Linked DNA regions of Caenorhabditis elegans. The protein of the gene in region 3 interacts with the protein of the main gene of each other region in a pairwise test. Each region holds a gene or a part of one and is shown on either strand. Other genes may lie near its edges. The genes, in order: F46G10.1, inso-1 and rbm-42.

Region 1 (9,866 bases), on a different chromosome or scaffold from region 3:
AATCTTCGTTTTTCGTCTTTATAGAGTATTCTGAAAATGCTCTCATTATGTCCACACTCCAATTTTTAGTTTTATATTTTAAAAAATTTGACTCCTAACTTCCAAATTTCCGTAGTTTTATTGAAGAGCTTGTTATTGTGCATCGAACGTACTTCATCGATGTACAATGTTCCCATGCTCTGCAAAGTTCCTCCTCAATTTCTTCTCCGTACTCATCTCTCGTGTCTCCCCGTCAGCATTGTCTCACATCTCTACTACCCTCTTCGCATATAGCAGGCAACTAGTTTGAATACTGACATGTGGTCCTATGGTGTAGTGGTTATCACGTCTGCTTTACACGCAGAAGATCGCCGGTTCGAACCCGGCTAGGACCTACGTTTTTTGAATACTTTGTTTGTATACATAGTTGGTTGAATAGAAAATTGAAAACAATTTATATGGATTTAAAAAAGTATATAGTTATTTTTAGAAAATTTTAGGAATTTTTCAATAGTGTTAATGTGAATAATAAATTTAAAAAAAATTGTTGGAATTAAGACATATTTCTGGTCAGCGACGTTGAGCAACTGTGAAGACTGTTGCATTTTGAGCCGTGCTGTCATTATTATTTTTCAGATTCAAAAACCGACGAATCATCCTTCGGGTACTTGGTGTTTCTAGATAGTAGATGAAAAAATTCATCATCGGAATCGACTCCAAGCGGAAGTAAAAGTATCCTTCTCTCACAACTTCAGGTAAACTAGCGAAAACAGTCTAAAAATAATGTACCGTTGCAGCATATTAAAACATATGTTAGACTAGACTTCTTACCGGAAAACATTTTGTGATAAACGCTCCAAGTTCATAAATAGACAAATAAACAGCAATTGCCACTGTTTGCCTCATCATGATCAGGTCTCTGCGAGCTTGAATTTTCGACAAGTTGCTCTGTTCTGCAGCCTTGACAGTTGGAACGGCGCTGATGTGATGATCTTAATTTAATTAGGTAGAAAATTTTTTTTAAACAAAACTTTCACTTACTTTTGGTAAAGAACTTTTTAAATTTTACGTATGTGTCATTCCGTGCGAAACGCAGATGCAAGATAATAGCCAAGTTGACAAACATACATGTAAATGGAAGTAGAATAGCATATTGGTTTTGGAAAACTGTGATCTGCAATCTTAGGAAGTTTCTCCTTTTTTCATGAGAACTGCTTTCTCTCAAAAGCAAACACTGGCGCTATTCATTGTTCTCTTCCCCCAAAAAGAGAAGCAAGTGTCTAATCGTTTCTCTTTTCGGAAGGAAAAGCTTTCCCATGGCCGAATGGTCTAGTGGTATGATTCTCGCTTTGGGTGCGAGAGGTCCCGGGTTCAATCCCCGGTTCGGCCCATTCTTTTGGCATATTCAAACGCGACACGCACTTGGCACGTTGAATTGAAATTTAATGTAACATTTTTTAAGGCAGTAAACATTTGATCTCCTTTGACGGAATTCGAACAAAAATGATTACAATGCTCAGATTTTGACTAACCGGATGTCGTTCTGGGTCACACGCAGATATAAATGACAAATGATTCAACATGAAAATAATACGACACGGTGTAAAGTATGGAATAAGTAATGATATGAGCACTACAATTGCAATAACGGCAGCATATCCGAAAAGTCGTCGTTGTGTGAACATCTCAGAGAATGGGTTGAGTATAATAGCCAATCGATTGACTGTCATTAGCACAGAAATGCAAAGAGAATGGAAATACGAAAATGTGGCTCCAAGACTAAATTGAGCACCAAATGCTGTCAGATAGTCTAGAAACGTCAAATGTTCGAATATGTTTTCAGAACTCTCCACAGGCAACTCACTTTCATATTCTTCCTCAGTAAGGAAGGCAAAAGCAGCTACATTAACATTAAGGAAAACTGTAATTAGAATTCCGGGAATGCTCATTAAAACAATATAGGCCAGTGGGAGTGCAGCTTAAAAATTAATTGAATGTAATTGACTCCTAAAATTCAAAAACTACCGTTCCGACGATTTATTATTGTTGCTGTGAGGAGCACAATGTTGTAAAGCATGCACATTGTTTGAAGTATTATCATAAAAATTAAAAACAGTTGATACTTCGGTGTCATTTTATCGAAAATTGTTGAACGCTTCAAATTCGATTAGGAGAGAATGTAGAGTCACAACTGCTGAAAAGGGATATAGACTGAAATGCGAGAAAAACGTGACAGAAATTGAATCATGCTGAATTGCGTGACAGTGATAAAAATGTGTTCGAAACTATTGGATTCTGAGAACAATTTCTCCTATTCGCAAAAGCGCCCACTAAATAAAGGGTTTTATGAGTTAGATATAATAGTGTGATTCGCAGAAAAAAAAATGTACAGGGAAGTAGAACGGAACCTCTGAAACTGAACTTGCGCACATTCTGAAAAATTTGGGTTTAGATCAAAATCGTATATTTTCGAAATTATCCGACTGGTTGATTATCAAAATAAATAAACTTCATCATGTAATTTGTCTCCAACGAAGCGTGTAAAAATATTACACGTACCATGCTGGTCAACATGGTGCTCAATGATCGTGCTTTGATATTAAACGTGGCAAAATGTTCCGGGTTCCGGGTCACATCTTGTAAATATTTCGTTGTAAATAGTTTTAACTGCAGTCGTAGAAACTTAAGTCTTAAAGAGTTTTATTGCAAAATATTTGCAAATGTTTATGTATTTTTAATAGTTTTCAAAAGTTTAAAAAAATCAAAAGAATTTTTAATAATAATAACGATTAATTCATGGCAAGATAACGTTTCATAGCGCATGTTCACATGGAGCTCGAATTTTTTAAGTATCTTTCAACAAACTTTCAAAAAAAGTTGTTTACCTATTGAGCACACTGAACAGAACATTGTTACTTTTTTAAGTCTGCACAAAACAAGTAAATAGATCTATTTTAACTGCAGGCAAAAAATAAACAGTACACGAAAACATCTGTATTAGTTTTCAGTTGCAACTGCAGCGACGCAGGCTTCAAGACACAAAAAATTGCTCAGAAACAATGCTAATTAAGAGCGCAAGACTAATTTATGCGAGGAAACTAACTTTCGAGAGAGATTCAGGACAACCAATAAAGTCCCCCCCCCCAATCAAAAATATTAAACGAAATATTTTTCTCCACATTGCTGATTTAGAGCAATTTTCCGAGTTGTATCTTTTATCAGTTTTGACTTGGTTTTCAGAAATCTGTAAAAGATTGAATATAATTTAGTTTTTGAAAATCGATATTTTCTATAGTTTTTTATGGCTAATGTAATTGAAGTTTAGTAAGACGTTTTGATTTTCGATAACTCGATTCTACCGATTTTTCTTAATTTAAAAGTGTTCAGAATTTTAAGCACATCTTTTTGGTTTCAAATGTTCTCACAAGGATCACTAAAAATAATTTGAATATGATTACTCCATCCCCCAAGTCAATTTTCAACGAACACCAAATTCAACAAGTTCGTTCAGAAGTACACACAATTTTGCACTTTATTTCCGTTATTTCATGGTCATTAACAAAGTTATTCAGAAAGAGGAAGTAAACTTCAAATGCGTCCTCCATTATTGTAGTACGTGTTGTTCGCAATTTGGTTCACCGAATTGCGAATATCCACAATATCATTGGTGTTGGCACGTTGTTCCTTTTCAATGTCAACAAGTGTCTCTTGAATTAGGTACTTGAATACCTCCATGCCAAAGAAGTCTGCTTCTCGCTGGAAAAAATAAGGGAAGTTTATATGTATTGTCAATTCATACATCATTGGAGTTATTTTCAAATTAAAAGTTGTGATTGTTTTCAATAAATTGATTTGGTGTTTCAAGATTCATTTAATATACACACTTATGTATGCTACACATTTTTTGCATAAATCTCATAGTTTCTATTTTTTATGATTGTTGACATAGTTGACATTAGTGTTAATCTTGTATTTGTTGGTTTTTTTTCCATATTGCACTTTGAATTAATTTTTGAATGATATTTCCTGGAAAAAACAATTTTTCAAAACATATTGTTTTTCCTTAACAATATCATAAAATAGTAACTGCACATGACTAAATTGTATAACTTAATTTTCTCTACCCATGCCAATTGATTAGGTATACCAATATTCGTGACACACAATCGCCAACACATAAATACCCATAAAACACAAGGCACACCTCGGTGTACCTCTAGTAAACAAGCAACTGTGCTTATCAATGACAACGCATGGTTAAGAAGGCGATGAAATTAAACATGAAACACCTACTTTGAGCTGTGCTAACACGTCTTTATCTTTTGGCAGGACAGTGTTCTTTCCGTCTCTCATAAATTGCAGAACGAATGCAAACAGACGCCCGTCCCGGTTCACGAAGATTGCTCCTGACTCATCACGCTGAAATTTGTATTGAAATTTTTTTAGAGAGAGCTATGAGGATTAAAAGCATTCTCTTGAAATTCAGAAAAATAATTCTGAAAAAAGCACAAGTAAAAATTGTTGGAAGTTTTTTCAGTAGGATTTAGGCTTTCAGCTAGCTTCTAGATAACCTAATAGTCTCCAATTAAAAAATTCTGCATCCTCATTAGTATGTATATTTATTTCTAGATTGTCACCCACAATAGTTCTCTGTTGAAGAAGCACAATTTTTCCACTGGTGCGGTCGATGCGGATAAAGTTGAGGAAATATGACGACTTTGACTGTGCCAAAGTGTCGTAAAGTGTAGTAAATCTGAAGCCTTCGTTAAATTCTCAGATCTCATGTTCTCAATTCCCAACTAACCTTGTGCCGCCTGCGTTAATATGCACTATGTCTCGAGCATGATGAGATGTGACTTCAGCCTAAACATAGTTTTATAATACTCCAATTTTCTCATTAGCTGTACAATTTATTAGAAAATTGAATCAATTTCAAGACCCACCTTTTTATAATCAGCATACTCAGCGGTATGCATATCCACACCATTTGAATGAAGAGAAGCTCTAGCTAGCATTATTAGTCAAACCTGCGTGTCCTGTGAAAAACGCGAGCAAGTGAAAATCGAGGTAATAAAACTCAATGGTCGGTTGTGTTATCAGTGACGTTAGGAAAATTTTTGAATTCACCTTGTGTCAATAAGAAGATACCATCCCATTTTCAGATTGGCAACACGTGTGATTCAACACTTTTGAAACATATAAAGGTACCTATTTTCGAAAAAAAAATCTTATTCGTGTTTAGAAAAAGTATATTGTTATCACTCAATAATAACCATTTATAATTGATCTAAAATTTAAATGAAAAAGTGAATAATATTAAAAGCGTGGCAAAATTTGAATAGTTTTTTTTGAAGCTCGCTCTGAAAAATGCCAAAAAAAACAGGCAAAGAAATATGATCAAGAGTGCCAATTTTACGAATTTGGACAAACCGTAAATATGTCAATGTAATTTTGAAACACGTGTTATTCAGGAAACCGCCAACCAATCACCGAAGTATGTCGTCTCCTTTACGTAACGCTGATTGGTCAGTGCCGTCGCATGATTTGCGTATAATTTCAAAATTTAATTGAAGTATTCATTCACCACTTGACTACTCTCAAAATAACACAACCTTTCATTTTTTGAATAGTAATTTTTGCACTTGTATGCTTATTCTAACTGGCGCCATTCTGTTTTTAAAGTTTTGTTTTTTTCACAGTTTTTGAACAAGCGGTAGGAAAAAAATCGACAGTTGCCGGTTTTCGTGCCAACAGCTCAGTCTGCTATGTATGTTCACTGAAAAAAAATTTATCCTGCAATTTCAGAACTACGAAAGTTGTTCAGGAGTAGCTTGCAGCTCAATGACGATAACAAGATGTTCCAGATCATAAAGTCAAATGAAAGTCAATTATAATTGATATTTCACTGGCAATTATTTTGTTTTTTTTTTGTTATTTTCTTCACAATATGTGCGGCTGCAGCACTATCAAATTATGTTTTATACCGCCGTAAAACTTTTCTGGCCGAAAATCTAATCTCGAAAATAATTTTTTATTTGCAAAAATGTCACTTGTTTAATCTCGCACGAGAAGTGCGAATAACTAATTTCACGTTTTCATGAGTTATTTTCTTGATTAAAACAAGGCTGCTAAATTGAAACAACAAAAATAAAAGTTACCGTACACCAAACGAAACAATATGAGATTTTGATTGGCATTTTCATGTTTTTCAAAAATAATATTTGATTTCGAAATTATGTTTAAAGGAGGACTAACGGTTCGGACGATTTTGAACGTATAAGCCAAAAATGGGCCCAAATGAACGAATTTCGTAATGAAACTGCTCAAACAATTTTCATAAATTTTTTATGGCGGTTCAAAATTTCGAAAAAATGACGCTGATTTTAGCTAAAATCTCTAATTTTGCCCATTTTTCCGTGTCACATCTGTCCGAAATTGCTTTTTTGGAATTATCACCCTTTATTGCATATATTGGTAGTTTATCTCATTTAATTTCCTTGATTAAGGTACATTTAAAGCCGATAGCTAACCAATTTTGATGATTTTTGCAATAAAGGATGATAAAAGCAATTTCGGACAGATGTGACACGGAAAAATGGGCAAAATTCGAGATTTTGGCTAAAATCAGTGTCATTTTTTCGAAATTTTGAACCGCCATAAAACATTTTTGAAAATTTTTTGAGCAATTTCATTACAAAATTCGTTCATTTGGGCCCATTTTGGGTCGATACGTTCAAAATCGTCCGAACCGTTAGTCCTCCTTTAACTGCCTGAACAATTTGTTAAAATTTTAGAGTGACATTTATATTTAAAAAAACAGAAGAAACTATAATTTTTGTTTATTATGAAAAACACTTTTTAGGATATGAGTGCGTTTTTTTTTTCTGAAAGAAGCCATTTCAAAAACCGAAACTAAAACGATAATTAACTTACTTCAGTGTCCATTCGCCTTTTACTTTTTGTTGCTGGAGTCCATTTAAACAAAGTTTGCACTACTTTTAAAAGATATTCACTCCATAAAAATTCGAAAAAAACTTTTAAAGTGTTTTTTTAAACAGAAATTATACCACCAACAAACGGATGAACCGGGAAGTGTAAAAGTTTCAAAAAAAAAATAATGCAATTTCTATCAGTTTAGTATGCGTTTTCATGTCAATCTAGGGTTATTCAGTTATTCATAAATCAATTTTAGATAACTAGGGGACCAAAATAAATTATAAAGATGAAAGATTGGGATAACGAAAAATTGACATAATTTGAGATGTTAGCAAAATTCAACTTTCATGGTGTCGATACTAAAAATGACAACATTTCAATTCTGCATCGGTGGAAATATTTTGCAAGTAGTAACATTGTTTTTTACAAACCTGCCTTATTAATGACATTTTTATTTTTTGCAATTACCATTGAGAATTGCACAGATAATTTTTTTCACTTCTCTCTTCAAGAGCTTTGCCTACTTTTCCTATAACTGCCTGGAACCCAAGCCACCATTATGCATTATCTGGGCGTATGCTTAATGAGATTTGCTTCCTGATTCTTTCAATTCCCCTCAATTCTTGCAATATGTTCCCGCACTCTCTTCTAAGTATCTTTCCGAAGGCACTGTAAACGCGCCACACGCAATTGTTTCTTCATAGTCATTTTATTTCATTGCATTGCTTCTTTCACTGTTTGTTGATTTATTGGTGTTGGATAGAATGGAAAGGAAACATTTTCTACTGAGAAACAATTATTTCCGAAATTTCCAGCAAGAAATTCAGATTTCAATAATTCTTGTTGAGAATTGTTCCTATCAGGCATATTTAAATGGATAAAAGTCATGTCAATTTTTTGGTGGACTTTGAATCGATTATTAAATCGTTAAAATATAAATGAGATTGTGTTTTTTTTTTGTTTTTTGGAAAAACAAACCAGGGGAAACATTCATGCTAGATGCCACACGTTTTATGTCACAACAACATTTTAATTTAAGGAATCCGAAAGCATGTTGAAAAATGACAAAAAATTTAGCAGAACATTTCAAACGTTTCTGAGTTTTCTACCAATTCTACCAATTTGAATTTGTATTAAAAATTGAAACTTTATCTAAAAATTATGATCACTTTGAGTAATATAAATGTGTAAAACGTCTTGTCACATTGAAATTCATATGGACAAAAGTTAGACAAAATTTTTTTGCCAACTGGGTCATTCATTTTTCACATGCTCGTGTCAGATGACACCGGAAGTTTCATTCAAATAAATTGCTAACAATTGGCATTCTGATAACAAACGCTGCAAGTACATTTCTGCTTAATTAGCCAAGCTAGTTAATTAAGTTTTGTTACTGTTATTATTGCTATTATAATAACAATTCCAATAAATCCATACATAGTGTTTTCAAAATTCCAATAAAACATATTCCCTAGTATGTTTTTTTTTTGTTTTTGGTTTTTGCCTGTCATAGAATCTGTTCAAACCGGCCTTCTATATCTCAAATCAACTGACAATTTGTCAAAAATAGTACCGTTTGCCAAATTGACATATGACATATGACTCATTCATTAACAAAAATGGGCGCATTCTTTAACGCATCTGTTTTTCATCTGTTTGCACCGAAACAAATCAAATGATTAAACCATCAACGCTGTCACATATCTTTGAAGAATGTGGTAGTGACGTTGACTATATCTTGTATTCTTTGTGTTTTGTGGTTGTATCATGTTTTTCGTGGCGTTTTTATTCGATTTTTTTTTTGGAAGAAACAATAGAAGTTATAGCGGAACCGATGTACATATTCATGTACATTTGTTATAAAATGAATTTTTAAATTGTAGTGTGATAAAATTTAAATGAAGTTCGCAGGCAATTAACATTAACTTATTTTCCACACTTATTTTCCAAAATTCCCTTTCAGTGACCAAGTGAATTTCATAATTAGTTTGACCATCAAGATTCTATAAATATAACAGAAACAGCTCAAAGAAGCATACAAAATTAACCATCAAATCCCCAAAGTTTAATTTTCCTAATACCAAGTATCAAGCTACAACATACAAGTTGGATGATTCAAGCTGATTACTAAATATGCGTTAGTTAAAGTGAGCCTTTTTAGGAATTTTATTTCAATATATTTAAACATGAGAATTATTTGAAAAACATGTTTTCAGAAAAAATTGAAGATATTCCTGATAATAGTCTTGTCCGTGTTTTTCCGAGCACTGCATTCAGTCATTTATTCATTTTTCAGATTGTCTGATTGTATTTTCATGAAGTTTCTAATATAACTGCGAAATTTAAATACTTCACACGCAATTTGATATCACATTCATTTTCTGAGATCTCGCAGACTAGAACTTATCAGCACGGATACTTCCCGTTAGTCATGGATCCCTAGGCAATAATCACAATGGTTAAACACGTCAATATTACTTTTTTCCTACTTCATTCTGTAAGATCAGGCAGAAAAATCGTTTTCAAAATTTTTACTCTTACTATGATGTACGCCAACTCTTGTGTCCTGCTTTTTCCCTACAAACATTTACTTTGAAACAAGACATCTTGGCCTCCGCAATTCAATTTGAAATTCATGAGATCTGGTAGGTTCATTCTGCTTCTTTGTCAAGTATTGCTTTGTTTTGCACAACATAGATTTTGAAATTTTACTAAATTTTTTGAAAATTTGATTTGGAAATTGAAAATGTTCCAATATTTCTTGTTACTTTTTTAGCGAGTATTACAATAGAGGTCCTTGGTAGGCTTTCCCCTTCATACTTCTACTTAACGGGGGTATCTTTTTTCGTCACTGTTTAGAAAATTTGACAAATTTTTCTGGTCGTCATTAAATGGTTTGGTACACATTCCGGATAAAAAAAAACAATTACGTAGACTTCAAAATTTTAAAT
Region 2 (11,234 bases), on a different chromosome or scaffold from region 3:
ACTTTTTCGTGGTTTTTTATCTGTTTATCAAGAAAACCAGGAGCAAACTAAACTAACCTTCCCGCCAACATTAAGCCGCACCCAGCTGCTCGAGCTGGACCCATAGTGGAATCCATTGGTCTTGACGGCGGCCACCCCATTCTGATTGGTCGAGTCATCAGTGTTGGACGACATGTGTCGGATGGCTTGAATTGTGTCTTGAAACGAGAATCTCACGTCAGACTCGTCGATGGCTGAAGCTGTTGAGGTGGCGCATGAGGAGCTCATCTCAGTGTCAGAAGATTGTCGTGGTGAAGCTGGAAATTGAGTAAGAATGAGGGGTGATTTGAGGGGCTCTCACAGCTCTGCCACACAGTGGGCGGTGCCTAGAGTATGAAACTGAGCGATGTTGGTTGCTATAGTGAGGCGGTTTTTTTGTGTAATTTTTTTTTTGTTCGAAAACAGAAAATTAAATCTCTGGAGAATTCTTATTAGCTATCAAGAGAGAAACTCGCGTGTTTTTCAAGTTTTAGAATACTAATGAGTACCATCGGGAAACTGAGAATTGATGAATAACATAATGTTTTCGCGATGAAAATGGAATTTGGAATATTGTATCTGAACAAATTAGCAGTAAATTTTCAGCAGGCTAGCCAAAAATACCAAAAAATTTTGAGACGAAAAGCGGGTAGTTATAGCGTATTAGCTCGATGAAATAAACTTTTAGTTATTTGTCCGAAGTAAAGCCGTTTTTGGATAATTTTTTTGACAAGCTGATTCTGAAAGTCTTAAAACATTTTGATGGCTTCTACGCTCCTATTAACAAATTTTTGTTGAGGGTTGTGAAAAATCCAGCATTGTTTAATTTTTCCAATTTTGATTTGCTAAATTTTTTGGGTGTTATTTTTTTTTGGGAAGCTTCAGTTTCAGAGGAGCGGAAAGGAATGCGGTTTTTAAATGTTAAACTTTGAATTTAATTTGAAATTGTTGATTACACAGTAGCTTTGAAATTAGATTTACGCCATAATTGAACAATTAAAATTTTTAGCAAAAATTGAGCACATTTGTCTATTTGCTATAATTCAAGGACTCGTCAATTTAGCTCGACAAAATTCAAAATAGAACAATTTTTAAAAAATTGGCATATGACAAAGTTCCCACTAATTTTTAAGTTTTTGACATCACTTGGATTTTTTGTTATATTTTTGGTACTTGTATAGTAGCTGAACCTCAAAACACGTAAACCAATTTTTTGAAATTCTAATTGCAGTTTTATAATATTTAACAATTGTCCTAACAAGCCTAGAAATACAAAAAGATGTCCCGTATTAATTTGTGAAACTTTAAAAAAACATTTTAGGGCACAAATACATACATTTTTTGTTTAGGTTTTGAGTTACAACACCGATAAAAAATTACAAAAACTTGGAGACTAGGAAATTTTGTATTTGGTGTCGCGTGTCAAAAAAACTCGGTAAAAGTCTAAATTTTAATTTGATCCAAGTTAAAACAAAATTTGTATAGCTTATACTGACAATTTTTATGTGTCAGGAAAATCATGAGAATTCACCAAACTACTTGAATTTCAAGATTTAGCAAATTCAAAATTCCAGAAAAAATAGAAGACTGGGCAATAGCTACGACAGCTTTAGGCTTCGCATCTATTGAAATTGGCAGGTTCATACTTTTTCATAGCACACCAAGTGTTAAGGAGTTTTTTTTTAAAATTTTTTTACATCGGCAATGGGTTCGCAATTTTGAATTATTATGTTTTTAAAAAAAGACTCACTTGTATTTGATACCGACACCTTCCTCGTATCCATCACCAGCCTGACCGGAATCTTTCTGAAAAACAAAAAAAAGCATTAAGAATGTATGAGAGATTTGTTTCAAAATAGCTGTCGTCGGGGGGCTTTTTTTCTGTTTCAGCCGTCGAAGAAAATGCGATAGTTGTTGCAAACAAGAGAAGAATGAGCCGCCAGAAGAGGAGTTGAGGATGAGAGGGGGGGGGGGGGAATGAGCAAACAAACGGAGACAAGGCTTCGTCTCCTCTGAAACCCAACCAGCCAACAAAAAGAAACGGGCGAGGAATAAAAACAGACAGAAGAGCTTCCTAGAATGATTTTGTTGAGCGGAGACAACACATGGGAAGGGATATATACAGAGATTCCGTTTTGAAAAGGCTTAAGCATAAGTCTGCTTCAGAAGGAATTAGTCGGTGAAAAATGAGAAATGAACAAACTCCTGTCTCAAACTTTTTAATTTTAGACATGTCAGCAAAAATTACAGAGAGAAGCTATAGGCGGTGGCTAGCTCTAGGATCTAAGTTTGTCAATTGGTCGCATTTGCATTCTCATAATTTTTCAAGCACGTTTTTGAATTACTGATGAGACATGTGAGAAAAGGTAAACAATTACACTATGAACCTATTATTAATAGTTACTGTATTTCCTCTATTAGTATTACACCCATTTGTTCAACTTTGACAGCTTATATCTCGGTTATCGTTTGTCCTATTCAAAAATTGTGAACTAACAAAATATTTGTTAGTTTTTTTTCTATCAATTTGTTATTTGTAATATATTAATATCTTAAAAATGAACCGAGATATACCGTTTCAAAGTTGAGTAGTCGGGTGTAATACTAATAGAGGAAATACGGTATTCAAACGCTCCAAATTGAATTTCTAAGATACCTCTTAGGTTAAATACAGAATTTGAAAATTTTCACAGCTGATTTTTGTTCAATTAATGTTATTTCTAATTAGATTACTTTTTCTTAATTTTCATAACTTAAAAAAATAATTTCTCAAAACTGTCCACTTGAAATGTAGTCTTTCTTTTATTAAACCTTTAATTTCGGGGGGAAATTGACTTAAAATTGATACAATTTTTGAAAATTATAGTTCCAGCACTCATAAATACAAAAGAAACCTTTCACTACAAGCTGTTGGTGGGTTTCTTTTTTTAACTTTTAAACTACAAAGTCGCTCAAAAAATAGTTTGAAATTTTAAAAAGGCCTACAGGAAAATCTGTTCCATTAAAAAAAATATTCAAAAAATTTCTGGATAACAATACAGCCCTAAAATAGGCTCCGCCTAAATATTGGACACTTCTGGCACAATATTCCGGTTTTTAAAATTTCAAGTTATTTTTTACGCTGAAACCTCAAAATTAATTTTTAATTCTACGAAATAGAAACCAGACTATTATTTTAAAATAAAATTCAACAAAATTATCTCATTAGACTCCGCCCATTTATTGGCTTTGGTGTGATTAATTGAACAAAAACTGAACAGGAACGGATGCAGCAATATTGAATTCGAGAAAAAAATACCACAAAATGGTAGAAAAAAAATGGGAAAAATTATTTCATGTTTTTTCGAGTAGGTTTTTTAAAAGTTATTTTATTTTATCAGTTTTAACAGGCTACCAAATTATAAATAATTATTACATACTGTTACTCAAAATATAATGCTCTATAATAAATTTTTCAAAGTTTGAATTTTTTTAAAAAGAAAATATTATTTTACGCTTTTTTTTCAACTGGAATAGGTATATAGTTCAATTTTCAGGAAATATTGTAAATTAAAAAATAAGCAAATTTAATTTTTTCTCAATTAAATATAATTTTAGTTATTGTATATATATATATGTGAAATTGAAAACTTCAAAGTTGTATTCAAAGAAAAAACTGCAAATTTTAAATTCATAAGAATAAAACGCTGTTATTGAAAACCTAAAAACCAGAAAATTCCAGCCAAGCTCCGAATGACAAAAAAAAGAATCAATAGACAAGACAATCGTACTAGCACTGCACACCCGCCAACCACTTGACCATATGGTCAGTTACTGCGTAAGGATCCGAGAGAGCACACAGAAGGAAGAGGGCGAGCAGAGATATGAAGCGGGAAATGGGGGGAACTAGTCCACGGCCATAGGGTGCCCGGCGATGCTGCTGCTGCTTCGGTTGGGGGAGAGCTGGGAGACGCAGAGTATATATGTAGGCTTAAGAAAATGAAACAGTGAGGGGGTAAGGAACAACCAAGTGCGAGTGTGTGTTTGTGCATGAATGTGCTCCCCCCGTCTTCTCTCACTTGCTCTCTCCCCCCATGTTTCCAAAAAAATAATGGAATAGCTTTAGGAGGTTCTACATTGCAATTGACATTTTTTCATTAAATTTTTTTTGGGATTTGTTCGAGGAATTCTCTAGTACTGAAGATTACTATTTTAGCTCTTTAAGAAATCTACATATTTAAAAATCTGAAATTTCTAAGGTTTTGAGCTGTTGCTGCCGGGATACATCGTTTGAATTAAATCATTTTGCGGATCACTTCCAAATGACAAAAACGAAAAAATTTCCAAAAATACTTCATATCCGGTCAGTACCAGGTCGGAACCAGAAAAGTGATGAAAATTTTCGGAACATTTGAATTGCTTAAATATTGATACACTTTGCACATTTTTTTTCTGTGATAAACGTGAAAATTCGAAATATAGTGCCTTTTTAATTTTTCGCGGATTTGCCAACCTACGAATTTTAGTTTTTCGGTTATTTAGAAATTTATTAAAGTGAAAATATAAAACTATAATTTTTTCAGTTAAAACATTTTCAGACTTTTCAAACGTAAATTACCAGATAACTGCCATGTTTTTTGGAAAAAATAATTTCAAATCAGAAATGTGATGAAAAGTTTTAGAAAATTTAAGTTTTTATTCGGCGAAAAGCTTTTTTTTTTTTAAATTTAAAAAAAAAGCAGTTTCTTTTGAGTTTTCAGGCTGTAAAGTTTAGTTTTTTTCAGAAGCCAAATTATAATTTTGTAGAAAGTTGAAGTTTTAGTTTTCAGACAAAAGTAGAATATTTATTTGGAAAAAAAAGGTTCCACATTTTTTCGAAGTAAATTTTTCAAACCTTTTAGATGTGAAATTTATAGTTTTTTATGCGTAACCTTAGTTTCGAACCTAATTTCAATTACTTAATTTTTTTTTCGAGCCCGCAACTATTTATAACTTTTAGATTTTTTCAAAGTGTAATATATTCCAACTAAAAATACTTCTTTCTTTTTTCACCTAATTTTTTATTATTTGTTCAATTAAATTCCATAAATCTAAACCGGTAACAAATAGTCATGCTTTACATATATCAGAAACAAAGTGAAAAACAAACTATAAAAACTTACATACAAATCATGAACTAGAAAAAAAGGAAATTTATTGAAAAAAGCAAGATGCAGAAGGGGATAGAAATTGACATTTCGAAAAAGAGCAACATTTGGAGGGAAACATGACAAAACATGACAAATCAAAAAAAATATTCGACTTGAAATTAATTCTAACTGCATACTGACACTGTTGATTGGCAATAATTAAATATGAAACTTTAGGTTTTCTAACAACTATTTTTGAGGCAAGTAAAAGTTCTCCAAAAACTAATGTTTGCAGATTTTTAATAATATTCATGTTGTTTACGTGTAAGCTCAAAATGTTCAATTTATAAAATTATATTATCTAATAAAAACGAAAGGCCCTTAGAACACCATGTGGGTGAGATATATATACCATACGCTATCCTTACAGTCTCATTTTTTAGAGACAACAATTGAAATGTGCCTTCAATTTTAATAAATTTCATTGGCTCACAATTGCCGGTTTACTTGGAATATTTTGGAAAAAATTTAGTCAGAGAACAAACGGAGGGAACCTAGCCTAAGCCTGAGCCTAAGCCCAAGCTTAAGCCTAAGCCTAAGCCAAAGCCTTAGCCAAAGCATAAGCCTAAGTCAAGACCTAGGCTTTAGCCTAAGCCTAAACCTACGCTTAAGCCCAAGCCTGAGCTTTAGACTGAGCCTTAGCCTAAGCCTAAGCCTAAGTTTAAGATTATATAACTTTTTTAATTGGAAAAAATTCATTTAAATCATACATAATATGCAAAGTTATAAATAAAACTTTTTGAAGAATTTTTTGAAGGTATTACTTTAAAATTTATTTTTAAATTTATTCAACCTACTCACTATCAGATTGGTAGACAATGTACAACAAAAGGATACCAAAGAAAATCGATATGTAAAACTTTTTTACAAAAACCAGTTGTGCGAACAAAATCCGATAAAATTTCTGAAATTTGAAAGAACTTACCTGAAAATCGCACGCGGCCAGAGCAGCTGCTTTACCTCGTTAGCTAATTTTTTGGCGAAACGACGCCGACTGAAAATTCAAATCAGATGAATAAATTCAATATAATGAACCGAAAGGAAATCTCAGCTAATGAAGAAAATCTCGGTGCCCTGGAAAAGATGATTCATAGGCAGTTAAATGGACGTCTCTGTGAATGAGAGCGTAATTAATTTTCTTATCTTGGGTTTTGTTTAGTCAACCGCAAGATATGCACTTTTAGAGATGTCACGTCATGGCCTTTTTGGGGAGGAGGGGGGGGGGGCACTTGGAACCACTGGATCGGAAGGGGGCCCTTTTTGTAATATTATTTTGTCAGATTCGCTAAAAATCGTCAAAAACTAAGGAAGTAATTCTCAGCTTTTGTTATAGTTTTCATGCTTTATAGGATGTACTTGCATTTTCACCTGTTCTTGTTAATTATAATTAGCGGTCTGACTTCAGAACTCTGTATGTATTCCGGGCTCACCTGCCTAATAGAACACGGTGGTTCAGTTGCTAAATGGGTGCAAACGCGCTCCACCGAACAAACGTGCATAACTTGGCCAGGAAGTACAAAATCGAAAATTCATCACAAATAAAGATAGATAATTTCATTGCGGTCATTTCTTATATGCATCGCAAAATCGATTTTGTGATGGTTTTCGAGATAGTAGCCAATATAGGTTTCCAGACTGAGTATCATGAACCAATCCATCTAGTTTCTGTGCTACCGTGAGAACTATCCGGCACGTTAAGAAAAAAAATTAACTGTACACGAAGTCTTTGAACTATGAGAAGTTCGACCCTAAACGTTTACCTAATTCCTCAGTTTTTCACCATTTTCAAAGTCTGTAACATTGCTCCAAGAATGACTTTTTGCAGATTTTTTATGGTTTTTTTTTTATGTTCAGAAGATGAAAGCGGCTGAAGATTGTGAAAACTTTTTTTTAATTTTCAAAGGCTTTCAGAATGTTAACTATTATCGAAAAAATACGATAAAATTTTGCTTTTTTCTTTTTTCAAAAAGTTCAAATTTTTCTCATAATTTATTTTTGATCTACCTTGTTCACTAGGCTCTTCCTTTCTCTTCGTTAAGACAGCCACAACGAAATAACAACGGCAACAAATTTAGCGGCGGAGTCAAGTTCCAAAGGTAGATCAAATGTTAATTATGAGAAAAATTTGCGAGCGTATTTTTTTCGATGATAATTCTTAGGCACCTTTAAATAAATTCATGAAAAACTTTTGGAACAAGTGGTTTTTTTGCACATATTTAATGTTTTTCAGGATCTTTGAAACAAGGTAAACATTCTGGAAGATTTTGAAGATTTTAAAAGATTTTCCAAAATAAAAATTACTGAAAAAGGCAGGCAGGCACTTCTGTACCTACAAATAAGCCTTCTGCACTGTATTTCAGAAACTTCAAAAAAATATAAAGTTTATAAGCAACTCGAATTTAAATAATCTTGGCACGCTGAATTCAAAATACCAATTTCTAATTTTTAAATTTTTTTTCAGAGCGAGCTTCTGCTGTACTCCAAAAAACTGTTCATATTACAAATTGAAAAAAAATCAAAAATAAAAAATACAAAATAAAAACTATTCAATTGAAGTATTCGGCGGTTGCTCCCACATTTGGGTGACCGAGATGAGTTGAGTGAACACGAGTGACAGTGGCGTTTTAAATGCGGTTTTCACCTTTTGCTGGCGTTGACACGTGAGAATTTGCTTGAATGCCCGTCTGAAATCTCGCGAGAAGCGCGAGTAGATGAGCGGGTTGAGCATTGAGTTTAGGTGACCGGCCCATGTGACGAATGTGAAGATGGTCTCTTTGTTGGAGAAACACTGAAACGGAAATTTAATTAGCCGCGGCTATTTGTGGGCTTTTTTTTGGTTTTTGGAGCAATGGTGAGTCGAGTTTTATCATAGTAGGGGCTTTGTCAATTTCTGATAAAAGCATTTTTCAGAAATTTTTCAAAAAGTTGCAAGTAACCGGAAAGTTCACCAGGCGCCTTCCCCTCAAAAACTAAAAACTCTCGTTCACTAGAATACCGTTCAAATTTTTTACCAAAACATAAATTTGCATGCCCGACATCTAGCGGGTCATCAAATCCTACACTTACACTTTCACAGAACGCGGTGAGCGGAGTGAACACGAAAAATGGTGTCCAGCAGAGAATAAATGCTCCGACCACAATGGAAAGTGTCCGAGCTGCACGTTGCTCGTGGACGTAGCGCATCATTTGGCGCGATTTTTCTCGAACATTCAATTTTCGACGCGTTGATAAGGGAGATGTCATCACCATTTGGGAGTTGGAGGAGAGCGACATACGATCCGGCTGGAAAATTTGGGGGATTTTTAATGGAATGTTTACATTATTAGAGGAGGACTGAGTGAATGGTTTCTGACACGTTTTATGGATTTTTTTTTGTTTTTGGCAGGAAAACTAACCCTGTTACAGTATTCTGGAACAGTAAGAAGTCAGACGCTATGTTTACCTGATCAACTTGCAGAAGAGTCGAAGAGCAGTTACTCCCGATCGTAACATTCCTGCCACGAAAGTTACGTTGCGAGGAACGACTAATGGAGTCGGAATGGCAACCTTCTGTGCCACGGAGCAATGGCTGCCGCACCGTGTTATTATTGTTGTGCTCGCCACGATCGTTTAATGATTTACAGGATACCTGCAACTGAAACATTGTGGATGCTAACTAGGTAATTCTAATTTCGCTAGAATTTTTGAACATTTAAACTGAAAAATCAAAGTAGTTTTTATACCTGCTTTAAAAGCAACCTCGTGGACTCTCTGGCATGAAACCTGCTATTTCTTAAGCTGGAACTCGACTGCTTCCCCCGCCCGAAATGAATCCGCAATGTTGGCTCATTCTCACTGGACAAGATGCTCTCTGTCTCCGTGTTGGATTTTTTTCCATTCCGTTTTTTGATCTGAACAAAACACGACTTATAAAACTGAAATATTTTCCTATTTACTCACGCTGACTGTTTTGATACCCATCCGCATGCCTTTTGAATGTCGCGTCGCAATTATGTAGACCTTTCCATATGCGAAGAGAATGAGGAAGAGCGGGATGTAGAACGAAACTAATGAAGAGAAGCTCACATACATTTTGCTGTCCGTGAATAGACATTGTGACTAGAAAAAAGAAAAATGTTTTTTTCTTTAATTTTAAAAGTGCATTTAATCAGTTCAAACTCTGAATTTTTATCAGTTCAAACTCTGAATTTTTGGTCAGTGCGACTTATAAGTTTGGTCAGTGCGATTTATAAGTTTCGTCAGTGCGATTTCTAAGTTTGGTCAGTGCGATTTCTAAGTTTGGTCAGTGCGATTTCTAAGTTTGGTCAGTGCGATTTCTAAGTTTGGTCAGTGCAAGGCACGTTCTAGTGCAGACCAATTTTGTCCAACCACCATCCCCCTATCTAATCAACTTAATTGTCAATTTTGTGGCGCTAATTAGTGAGATGATAGTCTATGACAGTGCCAATTTTAGACAAGTCCCGTTTGGCCAGTGCCAATTGTCATACCTGATCTTCATACAAATGCGGAGAACTAGTCCGCCACCAAATAATTCCAGGAAACGATAGAATTGCAGACAACACCCATACACTCAGAATAGCCATTAAGATCCTCCTTTTCGAGACTTTATCTCTATAGCCAATTGGGTCCTGACCGGCCATGTATCTGAAAAAAGTACGGAAAGTTTGTGCAAGGTCAAAGAAAGCACAGTTTGAAATTGAATGACTCACAAAAAAAGTAGTAGTAGAGGGGGGGGGGGAAGAAATTAGATTTGAACAAAAGAGAAGAAAAAGTCAAGAAAAAGGTTCAAAGTTCAGAGTTTTTGGTTTTCAAAAAAGCTTCATCAAATTTTTTTAACATTTTGGAATTTTCACATACCTGTCTAGACTAATGACGCATAGGTTCCATATCGAAGCTGTCGACGCAAGAATGTCCATCGCGTGGAACACATCACACATCATCAGGCCAAAAAGCCACGTGTGATTTGCAATTTCAAATAATGAATTCATAGGCATCACTATCACGCCTACTATGAGATCTGCTATTGCCAATGAGATAATTAGGTACCTGAAATTTAAGTTTGATATTAAAAAGAGTAAAAAGTGTAGTAAATTTAAGAGCTCATTTTTCTAATACTAAATTTTCAGTTGACATATGTACAGATTCAGAGGGTTCAGTAGTTTACCAAAAAAAATTCAAATCAAATTCCAGAGTTATTTAGAATCAGTTTCAGCCCAATTCCCAGTAGACTTTGGTTTATTTTCTACTTGTTGGATTGCTGAACCGAGATCACATTTTTGTCCGGATCTCTTTTCCGTACAACTTTTTCGGGAGTAAAACAGAATTATTAACTAAAGATGTTAGTTCAAAATTTAAACACACCTATAGAGACCATTATTTTATTGTAAAGAAAATTATAATCTACACCAAAATTATTTAAAATAAAGTTCTGAATTTCGGGTAAATAAGGAGTTTTAATGCATTTTCATTTAACAAACGGGTTACCCAAATGCGAAATGTTGTGATTTTTGTTTTAAAATTAGGTCTCGGCACAGCAAATTTCCAATAAATGATACCCTTTCCGCCAATAAATGTTCTGAAAAGACATTGCGAATTCCGCAGCGAGAAAGTTACTGTATTTTTTAAAAGCGCACACAGGCTAAAATTGAGCATAAATATATGATATTTCAGAGTTCCTGTGCCAAACTCACCCAGTGGGATTCCTTAAATACTTCTTAGTACACACTGCAATCACAACCAGACAATTTCCAGCAACTGTGAGCAGACAAATGGAAAACAATGCAATTGCCAATAGGGGATGTCTCCACACAATTGCCGCCGGCTCCTCTGTCGCCCAGACTGTGGTGTCGTTTTCTGTTGAGACGGACGGTGTCATTGTGATATAGAGGTCTTCGGCGTTCGGATCAGACCCGTAAGCCAACATTTTGATGTAGGCTAATTGCTGAAAAATGATATGCATATTGGTTTATTAAGGGAATAATAAGTAGGAAAAAGAGTTTTGAAAAATAAAAGATTAAAAAAAAAAGGAGGAGGGCAGTTTTATTTGAG
Region 3 (9,788 bases):
GAGGAATGTGAAAAAGTTTTCAGTTTTTGGGTCCTGGCACGAAAGAAACTATTCGACTATAGTAACCTCGAGCTATTTGTGTGATTTGAAAGTTAAAAATACGGTATATGGTCTCTACACGACAAGTTTTCGCTAAATGAAAAATGATGTGCGGTTTTACGGGGTACTGTAATTAATTTCAAATTATTGTTTTAAAAATCTATGAATATTCCGCGGCAACTACAGTACTCTTTAACTTGTCGTGTTGAGACCAGTCATCGTTTTTTTGGTACAAAAATCACATAATCTCACGTCTGGAAAATTAAAAAACTTTTTAGAATATTTTCAATATTTTTCATTAATTAGTGTAAAATTATCTACCATACTCTCGGCTACGGTAGCTGGAATATTTCACTCGCATCAGGACCAAATGGTGTTCTAAAAGTCACTTTTTCAAGAGTAGGTAATTAAAAATTTTGAGAAAGAATTTTTGAAACTCAAAAAACATTTTTAATTCAATTTTTGAAGTATATTTTGAATTCACCAAAAGAAACTCACTGAGCAGTTGTCCAATATAATTCGCATTTCGTGCTTTCAACTTATGATCAACACGATCTGGGAAATGGCGGGAAACATTGACAAGCAGACGAGAGGCAACTGACGAATACAAGGCCTGAAAGAAAAACACTTAAAGTCGGGGGATTACGAGTACTTGACACAACTACTACTTATGGTATAAGGTTACCACTCGTTCTTTTTATCCAAAATATTAGTCTTTCTCTATATTCTTATTGTATTTATATTAACCAGAAACGAAATTTCACAATTTTTGCGCAGAAAATACGGTACCCGGTCTCGAAGCGACATTTTTTTTCTTAAATTCAAACGGATGCGCACCTTTAAACACTACTTCAAAATCTCGTTTCTGCGGAATTTTCTTCGTTTTTGAATAAAAATTTGTTTTAAAAAAAAAAATATTTAAACACTGATATTAACAAGTTTGTGAATAAATTTTCGCAGCAAACGAAAGTTTGAAATTACAGTTTTTTGAGGCGCACATATTCTGCATTTTGAAAAGTCGTGGCGAGACCGGGTACCGTATTTTTGGCGCAAAAAACGCAAAATTACGCGTCTATGTAATATTATGAAAGCGTTGAATATTACTTTAAAATTCCCTTACATTAGTAACAACTGCAGTATAAGCAATTTCCACACATTTTGATTTATCCAATACAAAATCAGCGGCTTCAATGGAACCAGAAGTGAAGTTTGTGAGAGCTGCCAGAGTTTCAGTTCGATCCGAAGAAGTTGCTTCACATAACTGACAAATCGCTTTTCCCAGAGCAAAATCTTGAGCTTGGAAGTATTTTCCAGCAGATCCATCGAGCGGTGTACCCAGTTGAGTGACAACTTCCATTGTTTTACGACGAACAATTAATCTGGAATTGGAATTTTCAATTAAGAATAATAACCTCAGTTCTTACGACATAGTCGGTGAGAGGAGCTTCACCAAATCATCGACGCTTACTTCCAGGTCAGTCATCTAGAAATAAATAATTATTTTTAAATTCAGGATTTCATTTCAATTCGTTTTTAAATTTATGTTATATTTCTTCCGATTATCACTTTTTAAATACATTTTTCACACAACGCCTGATTTATTTCTAGAACCCCTTGAGTTTTCTATCTCTAGTATGAACTCAATTCTCTAAACTTCAAATTCCCTGCTAGACTGCAACAAATTTTGACGTCAAAATCAACTTGTCACACCCATAGTCTAGTTAACAATCACTTCAATTCTATTTTACAGTATACCTCATTCGCCCACCCGGGTACGCGTCCTTCTCACCGACAAACATCTCGAATCTTGCAGCTTCAGCGCCAATCCTCACAGTCGGCCACTTCAAAAGTGCGCGAATGTGTAAGGTGGCGGGTTACTGTAAGTCTTTTGCGGTTGAGAGTGAGAAATTGGGGACAAAAAGTCAGGTTGAAGTGTGCTTTTCGGACGTTGCGGCTCGTGTACATCTCACACTTGATGTGCACAAAAGAACGGACACTCCAGATTGAAAAAAACTAGAAAAGGGTTCCTGACTACCGTAATCCAATGGGATATGCATGGTGATTGTTGATGCAACACTACTTTGGAAAACAAACGGTCCAGAGTTACGTCATCTACAAGCAATGGACCACCGGATAATGTGGACAAAGTTGCATAATCAGAGTTGAATATCTGGTTGCTAAGACCGATTAATGCTATTTGGATGTTTATCTCCCCAAATTTCAATGTTGATCAAATAAAACTGAAAACTTGATGGAATAAATATCAAGTTTCATTTTATATTAATTATCTAAATTTGATAAGTTTAAACAATAGGGGAGCTTCACAGTGAAAACCCATACATTTCAAACCCCATGCCACACTTCGTCCACACGGCTGTTCCTAATCCAAGACCTCTTCGTGTCATAAAATATTAGATGTTTCCATTTTCCTGACACAATCCATACCATGGGTGTTTTATACCGCATTACACTTGATAATAAACGAGGTATCAGGTGTGAACAAAATGGTGAGGAATTGCTTATAAATTTGACGGAAGAGAATAGGGAAAAGGATTACTTATTAGTAAAAGCTAAAGGGGATTATTATCTAGATCTAGAGATTCTTCGCATCGAATGATTTTCAACATGCTCTTGAAGGATATGACTGTTATTGCACAACAGAAAACAACATGATATCATCAAACATGTGTTCATGTAATAACATCAAAAGAAGCATTTGGTTGCGAAGCGGAACCATTTTCAGTTTGAATGAAAAATATGAGTTAATCGCACAGATTATGATTTTAAATTGCTTTTTAATTGGTCGTGTAGAATTATCGAATAGGATCTGACTTTTTGACAATTGTATCCGAATACGAGTCTAGAATTCCAATTCCAAGTAAATTCAGAGTTCTCGCTCATTTATCGTAAACAACAGACTGACAGCACACTTTCAGTACAAAAAGCCGCTTTTTTTCAAATCTTCTGATCCGGATGCACAGATTGACCTGTTGCCGTCACCAAACAACATCTTCATCTTCAGAAGATGCGTTGAATTGCGCAACCGTCAATCGGAAGGACACCGTGTGACCCTGTCTCGACCCGTCACCTTCGTAATCTCTTGCTCAAACTTTCGACATCGGCACTCTTTGTGAAGTAGTCGGTATCCGTTACGCAATTGATATACTCGTCAACACAGCCACCCACTTGTACTACATTTATACAAACAGGAATTAAATGAAGACACCTACTAACTATACTTATATAGAAAGTTCTAGCCAATGAAGGGGTCGAAAGTATTTTTCATTTTTGTAACAAAATTAGTTGAAAGTATCTAATTGACAAATCCTATACTAGATATAATGTCTACCTATCTTAACTTCCAGCCAAAATCATTTAAATTTCAGGAAGAACATTTTTGAAACACAGACACGAAAATTCTCGTTTTGTGCGCTAAATATACAGTACTCCGTCTCGACAAGAATTTTTTGTTAGTTATTGTTAAAATTTATGCTTTACTGAAGTTTTTGATTAGTAGATATATTTTTATCAAACAACTTCAAAGAATCGTTAGAAATTGAACTACAACGAAATTTTTTAATTACAGTACTCTTTAAAGGCGCACAGCATTTCGAATTTAACAAAAATGTATCGTGTCGAGACCGGATACGGTATTGTTCCCTCAAAATTTGAAGTTTTCAAAAGATTTCAGCCTTTCTTAAATATGAATTGAAAAGAAAAAACTCAAAAATGTAATGTTCTAAAATGACAGTAGAGGTATATTTTGCACTGGACATGCAACAGTGCTCCTGATACTCAAATAACGATAAATATCTCAATTCAGACTTTTATATATTGAAAAGAAAAATGAATAAAAATACGATGACAGGAAAATAAGGGGTACAATGAAAGTATTGGGGTATAAATGAATAAATTACAGAAAAAAATGTAGAAAAACGAATCGATTTACAAAATTCCAAGTTCTTTCTTTTGCTTTCTCTTTTGCTTGATAACATCAATATTACGCTCCTTCCATGCCGATTTTCTCAATTTAATCGGTCGATTTCCAACATATTTTCCGTCCATTTCACGCATAGCTCTCACATAATCCTCCGAATCTCTGAATGAAACGAATCCATATCCTTTACTCTTATTTGTTCGTGATTCTCTGACAACTTTGGCTTTTTGGAAACTTGGGTATTTTCGAAAAGCCTTTGCAAGAAGTTCATCCGACACTTCATTTCCCAGATCTCCACAGAAAACTCGAAAATCATTTTCATCCCATTCGGCAAGAGATGGATCTTCCCAAACCTGACCACCACCGGATCTCACAAACTTCTTTTTCGCTTGTTGTTCCTTGATTTTCTTCTTAAATGGATCGGTTTGCTTTTTGAAATTCATCTTATCAATATCTGATTGAAGAGCTTGAGTTCGCAGAAGTTCTTGTGGAATTGCGTTTACTGCAGGTGTTTCATATAATGCTGGAGCACCTTCAATAGTTGCAGGAGCCGGAATTCCGAGTACTCGAGGAGGGAACATTATCTGTAAATTTAATATTCAATTGAGAGTAATATTCACATAACTTCAATTTTTAACTTTTCTCTCAAAAATTTATGGCTTTATTCATAAAATAAGGATATTTTTTAAGTCAACGGAAAATCAAAACTAACCGGTGCAGCTCTTAATTGTGGAGGCATGAAAATTGAAGGTGGAACTGGAGGCATTGTTGGAAGCCTCCCAAGTGCCGGGTTGATAAATGGAGAAACTGCAATTGTGGCAGCTATCGGAATAAACGGAGGCGCTGCCAAAAGTGATGGTTGAATAACTTGAGCACTAGAAGTAGCTGCTGATGACTCGGAAGTAGTTGGTCCTGCCGAAATTGTTGCATTATCGTAGCCAACATGCGTTTGAGAGCTTGCTGGCTCCTCCGAATTGCTACTCGCTTGTTCAAGTTCGGCTAACTCGCTTTCAAATCTAAAATAATATAATTTGTTTGATAATAAATATAGGAAGAATCAACTTACAAAGCCAGTTCATCATCCAAGTTGGCCATTGTTGAAGGGTGAGCGTTTCAGGCTGAAAATAAGTCTAAATATAGTCAGAAAGTACAGAAACTTTGCGACAGATAAATCAAAAAATATTAATATTTAATATTATTATCTTTAACACATAAATGAATACAAATAAAAGGAAAATAGCTTTTGTTTCGAAAAACATTAAAAAATTGATAAAAATATTAAGAGTACGCAAACACCGCATGAAATAAGCCAGAGACGACGCACTTTTGCGTACTCTAAAATTTTTTCTGTTTTCCTATTTATTTTTTTTATCCTCCCAATTTTCACGCTTTACTAGTAGTTTTGTGCTCATAATTGTTTTAAAATTTAAGAAAACACCCTCTGAAGTTCCAAATATTACCTCATCCGCTTTTTCTAACATTTCTTAAGAGATATATTCTGTATCTGCAGAAAATGTCCGGTGAAAATGACGTTGAAATGCATGATGAGGATCCAGTGGAGGATATAGACGAGTCTGAAGAGGAAGTTGATGAAACTGATGATGAAGACGAGGAAGTACCGGAGAATCAGAGACAAGTGAGCTAGAAATTTCGTACAATACTTCTAATTGTTAAAATTGCAGGCTTACATTCCAGGCCTCAGCCGGCCATTGAAAAAAGGAGAAGAATTGGATTTTGACCCTAGTGCTTACAAACTATTTCATAGTTTCAATTCTGGTGATTCAAACGAAATTGTTTCTAAAATATTTATATTTTATGATTTAGATTGGCCATGCTTGTCGTTTGACGTTGTTAAAGATGGTTTGGGCGAGAACAGAACACAATTCCCTGCCGAATGTTATATTGTCAGTGGAACTCAAGCCGATAAGCCAAGGGATAACGAAATCATTGTGATGGGATTGAAGAATCTTACAACGATGAGGGTTAGTCGGTTTCAAACTTTTTTATTATTTACCTGTTATGAAATTGAAATTCCGGCCAACGTTTAGTTTTAAGCTCAGTAACACAATTGTTAAACTAAAAAAAACAAGGATATCTCTACAATAAAAGTGAGTATTTCAGAAAGAAAAAGAAAACAAAGGCGACGACAGTGACACCTCTGAAGACGAATCCGAAGATGAAGATGCCGAAGAAGAGAAGAAAAGAGAACCAAAAATGCACGCTGTTTCGATTCCTCACTATGGTGGTATTAACCGAATTCGTTCCGATCGTCTTGGTGACAGTACTGTATGTGCTTGCTGGAGTGATCAAGGACGTGTCCAGGTGTGGAATATCACTGATGCATTGAATTATACTCATGGAATGAGCGGAGAGTCGAAGACTGAAGTGCAAAAGATCGATCGACCCTTGTTCACGAATAATGGATCTGGAAAAGAAGGATATGGACTTGCTTGGTCTTCATTAAAAACTGGAGACTTGGCTACTGGTGATATCATCAAAAAGATTTATTTGTGGCAAATGAAGGAAGGAGGACAATGGGCTGTTGGAGCTAATCCATTAACTGGACATAAAAGTAATTTATTTAATTTTGATCTGAAAATTCCAAAAATTGAAATGTGTCTCCTGAATGGCGTTTGAGTGGTTTTTTCTTGAATAGATTGGAAAAAAACAAAAATCTGAATTAAAAACTTGTCTTTGTCGCATAAAAATTTTTGAGCATTTTTCAGTACATATTCCAATATTTTTCAGAGAGTGTCGAAGATCTTGCATGGTCACCAACTGAAACTGGACTTCTTGCTTCATGTTCCGCGGATGGAAGTATCAAACTATGGGATACACGTTCTGCTCCAAAAGATGCCTGCGTCTGTACAGTGCAAAAAGCTCATGAATCCGATGTTAATGTTATTTCGTGGAATCGTCACGAAAACCTCATTGTTTCTGGTGGTGATGACGGAGAGCTGAAAATTTGGTCTTTGAAAACAATCCAATTCGGTCAACCAGTGGCACTCTTCAAGTATCACAATTCACCAATCACTTCAGTCGACTGGCATCCACATGAAACAACGACATTTATGGCTTCCGGTGAAGACGATCAGACAACAATTTGGGATATTGCAACTGAAGCAGATGGACAAACGAATATCGAAGGAGTTCCACCACAGCTGATGTTCGTCCATATGGGTCAGAATGAGGTCAAAGAAGTTCACTGGCATCAACAGATTCCTGGATTGGCTATCAACACTTCAATTGATGGATTTAATGTCTTCAAGACTATTAATATTTAAGATGTCTCCCTGTTATTGCTCCCTGTTTGTTTTTGTTGCTGTTTTTCTCATCTATTCAACATTGTTACTGTTCATTTTTTTTCGTAACTTTTCTGTTAACCAAAAAATGCTTTAAAAATGTCGCGTTTTCGTTGAAAAACAAAAAAAAACATTTTATTCTATAGAATCTAAAAAATTAGGGACTGGGAATGTATCACAAAATATAACAAGAAAATTCACCATTTCAAGACTTGAGCAACATTCGTCTCAACGGGCCTATAGTCCGTAAACAGAAGATTACGGTAGTTTTTATCAAGTTTCTCCCATTCCTCTCGAACTTTTATCCAGGTTTCTTCATCATCTTGTCTGGGTAAATCTTCATATAATGCCTCGACTTTAATCAATTTCTCTTCTCTCTCATCCATTGTCTCGTACCGAATCTGACCTCCACCATTTGCACATCCACCCGGACAAGCCATAATTTCCACGTAATCTGTCTTCTCCTTTTTCGTCTTCATTTTTCGAACCAGATTCTGCACATTTCGAAACCCGTAAACCTTGGCAACTCTTAAAAGAATTTCTCCAGCTTCGGATTCTACAGTCGTGGAGAACATGTTCTTGTTTCTGAAAAAATGAAATATTACATTATTTAAAGTTATTTATTCCTACAGTTTTGATGTTTTTACAATTCCTCCTCCATTTTCCAGCACGAAATCTCGAACAATTCGATCAGCATATCCTCCAGAAGCACCACCATCGTCACCAATAACAGATCCTGAAACATTTCAGTATTGTGTTTTAAGGGAGGCATCTTTTTTTATTTTGTTTCGTTTCTAAAGATTACTGTAGAAAATTTACGATATGTTTTTCAGCTCCTGCTCTGTTCAGTTTCATGTTGTATTTCTCGTAAAATAAATGTTTTCCACAAGTTGGAAAATATGGTTTTGTCGCCAATACCTACCGAGACCCATGGTTGGGAGGCGGAGGCATTGTAGCGCGATTTTAAAAGAACCAACGCCTCGAAAATTTTCAAAAACGGCGAGAGAAAAATATTTGAATTCCCCAAGAGGAATTTCACCACAGCGCGTGCAAAAATGTCTGCATTTGCGCGTGACGGTGTTTGCACAAATTACACCGAATGGTCGAGCTGAAAACACGTGTCCTACAACACGTGAAGAGAAATAAAAAAATCTACACGTAGAAAAGGAGTATTCAAAAGTTTAAAATTTATTCCTCAAGAATAAGAGCTTGAATTCAGTCACTCAAGAAATTGATTGTGTAACTGATCAAGCCTGATTTTTTTTGGGATGTAAGTTTTATTAATTTCTGAGAATTTGACTGAAATTATTTTCAATTTCAGAATATTATTGGCGCAGACTGTTTCTGTTGGGTGCAAAGCGAAGGCTACAAAACCAAAAGCAGCTGCTCCGAAACCGGTAAGTATAAATAAGATTTTATAAGCTGAAGATGTTCTAAAATTGAAATCATTTCAGATAAGCTCAAATCGACAATCTCGAAAGTTGTCCCACCAGCTCGTCCACCATCACGACCAGAAGATTATGAGATCAACTGGGGACCTAAATGCTGTTAATTTTGAATAAAATCGGTTAAAATACAAGTCGTTGTTTTTTTGTCTTTCAGCTCTCAAATCCGCCGCAGCTTCTTTGTTTTTCTCGAATTTTCAAGTGAAAAAGAGGTTTTTATGTCTACAGTGGCGTGCTAAATTCTGTAGAAAAATTCCAGATTTTTGGTAACTTTTGGTATTCTCTACATAAAGTTTTTTTCACTAAAAAATTTGAGGAAACCAAAGGATTTGCGTCGAAATTGGAGAATTTGAGCCTGACTTTAAAGAAATAAAAAAACCACAGAAATTGTTATTTCTTTTCAAATTTACCTTTAGAAAGAGCCGATAACCATTGCTCTTCTTCTGATCTATTTTCAACATCTCCGGCTTCGTCGTTTTCCAATTTGATAATTTCTTCTAACAGTTCAGCAGTACTTATAACACAATCAGTCTCTCGAACATCAGTTCCATCAACTTTAAATTGTTCTCTCGATGCCTCTAATTTCTTATCAAAACATGGCATTACAGCTGCATGGAATACATCACAGGGGCTTAAACCTTCTCTTTTTGCTAGAAATCCTTTGATAATTGCACCACTTATAGCTTGAGGTGATCGAATTTTACTGATTTTAGGGATTAAAAGCTCTCCGTGACTTTTTTCAGCGTAGCACACAAATCCCGGACAAGCAGATGAAAGAAGTGGTCGAGATGTTGATGGAGTTGTTGAAAGTTCTTCATATATTAAAGAATGTGCAAATTTCCGGGCAAATGATGAATCAATTACGTATTTGACACCTAGTCTTCGGAAAAATGAGGCAATTATTTTCGCTACTTCATTTGTTGATTTTCCAATTTTCACAGCAATAGAAGTGATGGCTTGTGGAGAAACAGTGACGACTGAGAGCTTTGAATTTTGAATTCCTTCATAAACTCGTCCAAATGATTGTTCTTCAACAAGAACTGTTTCAGCACTAGTGATACATCC

The links.
Region 1: the proteins of rbm-42 (region 3) and F46G10.1 interact in a two-hybrid assay, tested with the Caenorhabditis elegans proteins (one large-scale study listed by BioGRID).
Region 2: the proteins of rbm-42 (region 3) and inso-1 interact in a two-hybrid assay, tested with the Caenorhabditis elegans proteins (one large-scale study listed by BioGRID).

The regions. Positions count from the first base shown.
Region 1 is NC_003284.9:13,306,733-13,316,598, forward strand, and holds F46G10.1 (BTB domain-containing protein), read right to left. Parts: upstream 5,024-9,866; 5' UTR 4,995-5,023; coding exon 4,923-4,994; intron 4,843-4,922; coding exon 4,784-4,842; intron 4,740-4,783; exon of another isoform or gene 4,733-4,739; coding exon 4,621-4,732; intron 4,399-4,620; coding exon 4,273-4,398; intron 3,736-4,272; coding exon 3,568-3,735; 3' UTR 3,495-3,567; downstream 1-3,494. Other genes in the region: srxa-8 (G_PROTEIN_RECEP_F1_2 domain-containing protein), read right to left, coding at 550-753, 811-971, 1,021-1,153, 1,512-1,789, 1,844-1,957, 2,005-2,113.
Region 2 is NC_003284.9:1,295,153-1,306,386, reverse strand, and holds the start of inso-1 (BTB domain-containing protein), read right to left. Parts: upstream 6,239-11,234; 5' UTR 6,112-6,238; intron 1,825-6,111; 5' UTR 1,803-1,824; coding exon 1,769-1,802; intron 297-1,768; coding exon 58-296; intron 1-57. Other genes in the region: dop-4 (Dopamine receptor 4), read right to left, coding at 7,729-7,974, 8,253-8,468, 8,629-8,814, 8,909-9,076, 9,126-9,284, 9,674-9,830, 10,044-10,232, 10,877-11,109.
Region 3 is NC_003281.10:5,148,057-5,157,844, forward strand, and holds rbm-42 (RNA-binding protein 42), read right to left. Parts: upstream 5,174-9,788; 5' UTR 5,072-5,173; coding exon 5,043-5,071; intron 4,993-5,042; coding exon 4,689-4,992; intron 4,561-4,688; coding exon 3,985-4,560; 3' UTR 3,851-3,984; downstream 1-3,850. Other genes in the region: Y54H5A.2 (Protein HGH1 homolog), read right to left, coding at 538-652, 1,160-1,418, 1,464-1,522; grwd-1 (Glutamate-rich WD repeat-containing protein 1), read left to right, coding at 5,490-5,612, 5,659-5,752, 5,801-5,958, 6,098-6,548, 6,725-7,260; putative cytosolic Fe-S cluster assembly factor oxy-4, read right to left, coding at 7,476-7,863, 7,909-8,014, 9,134-9,788.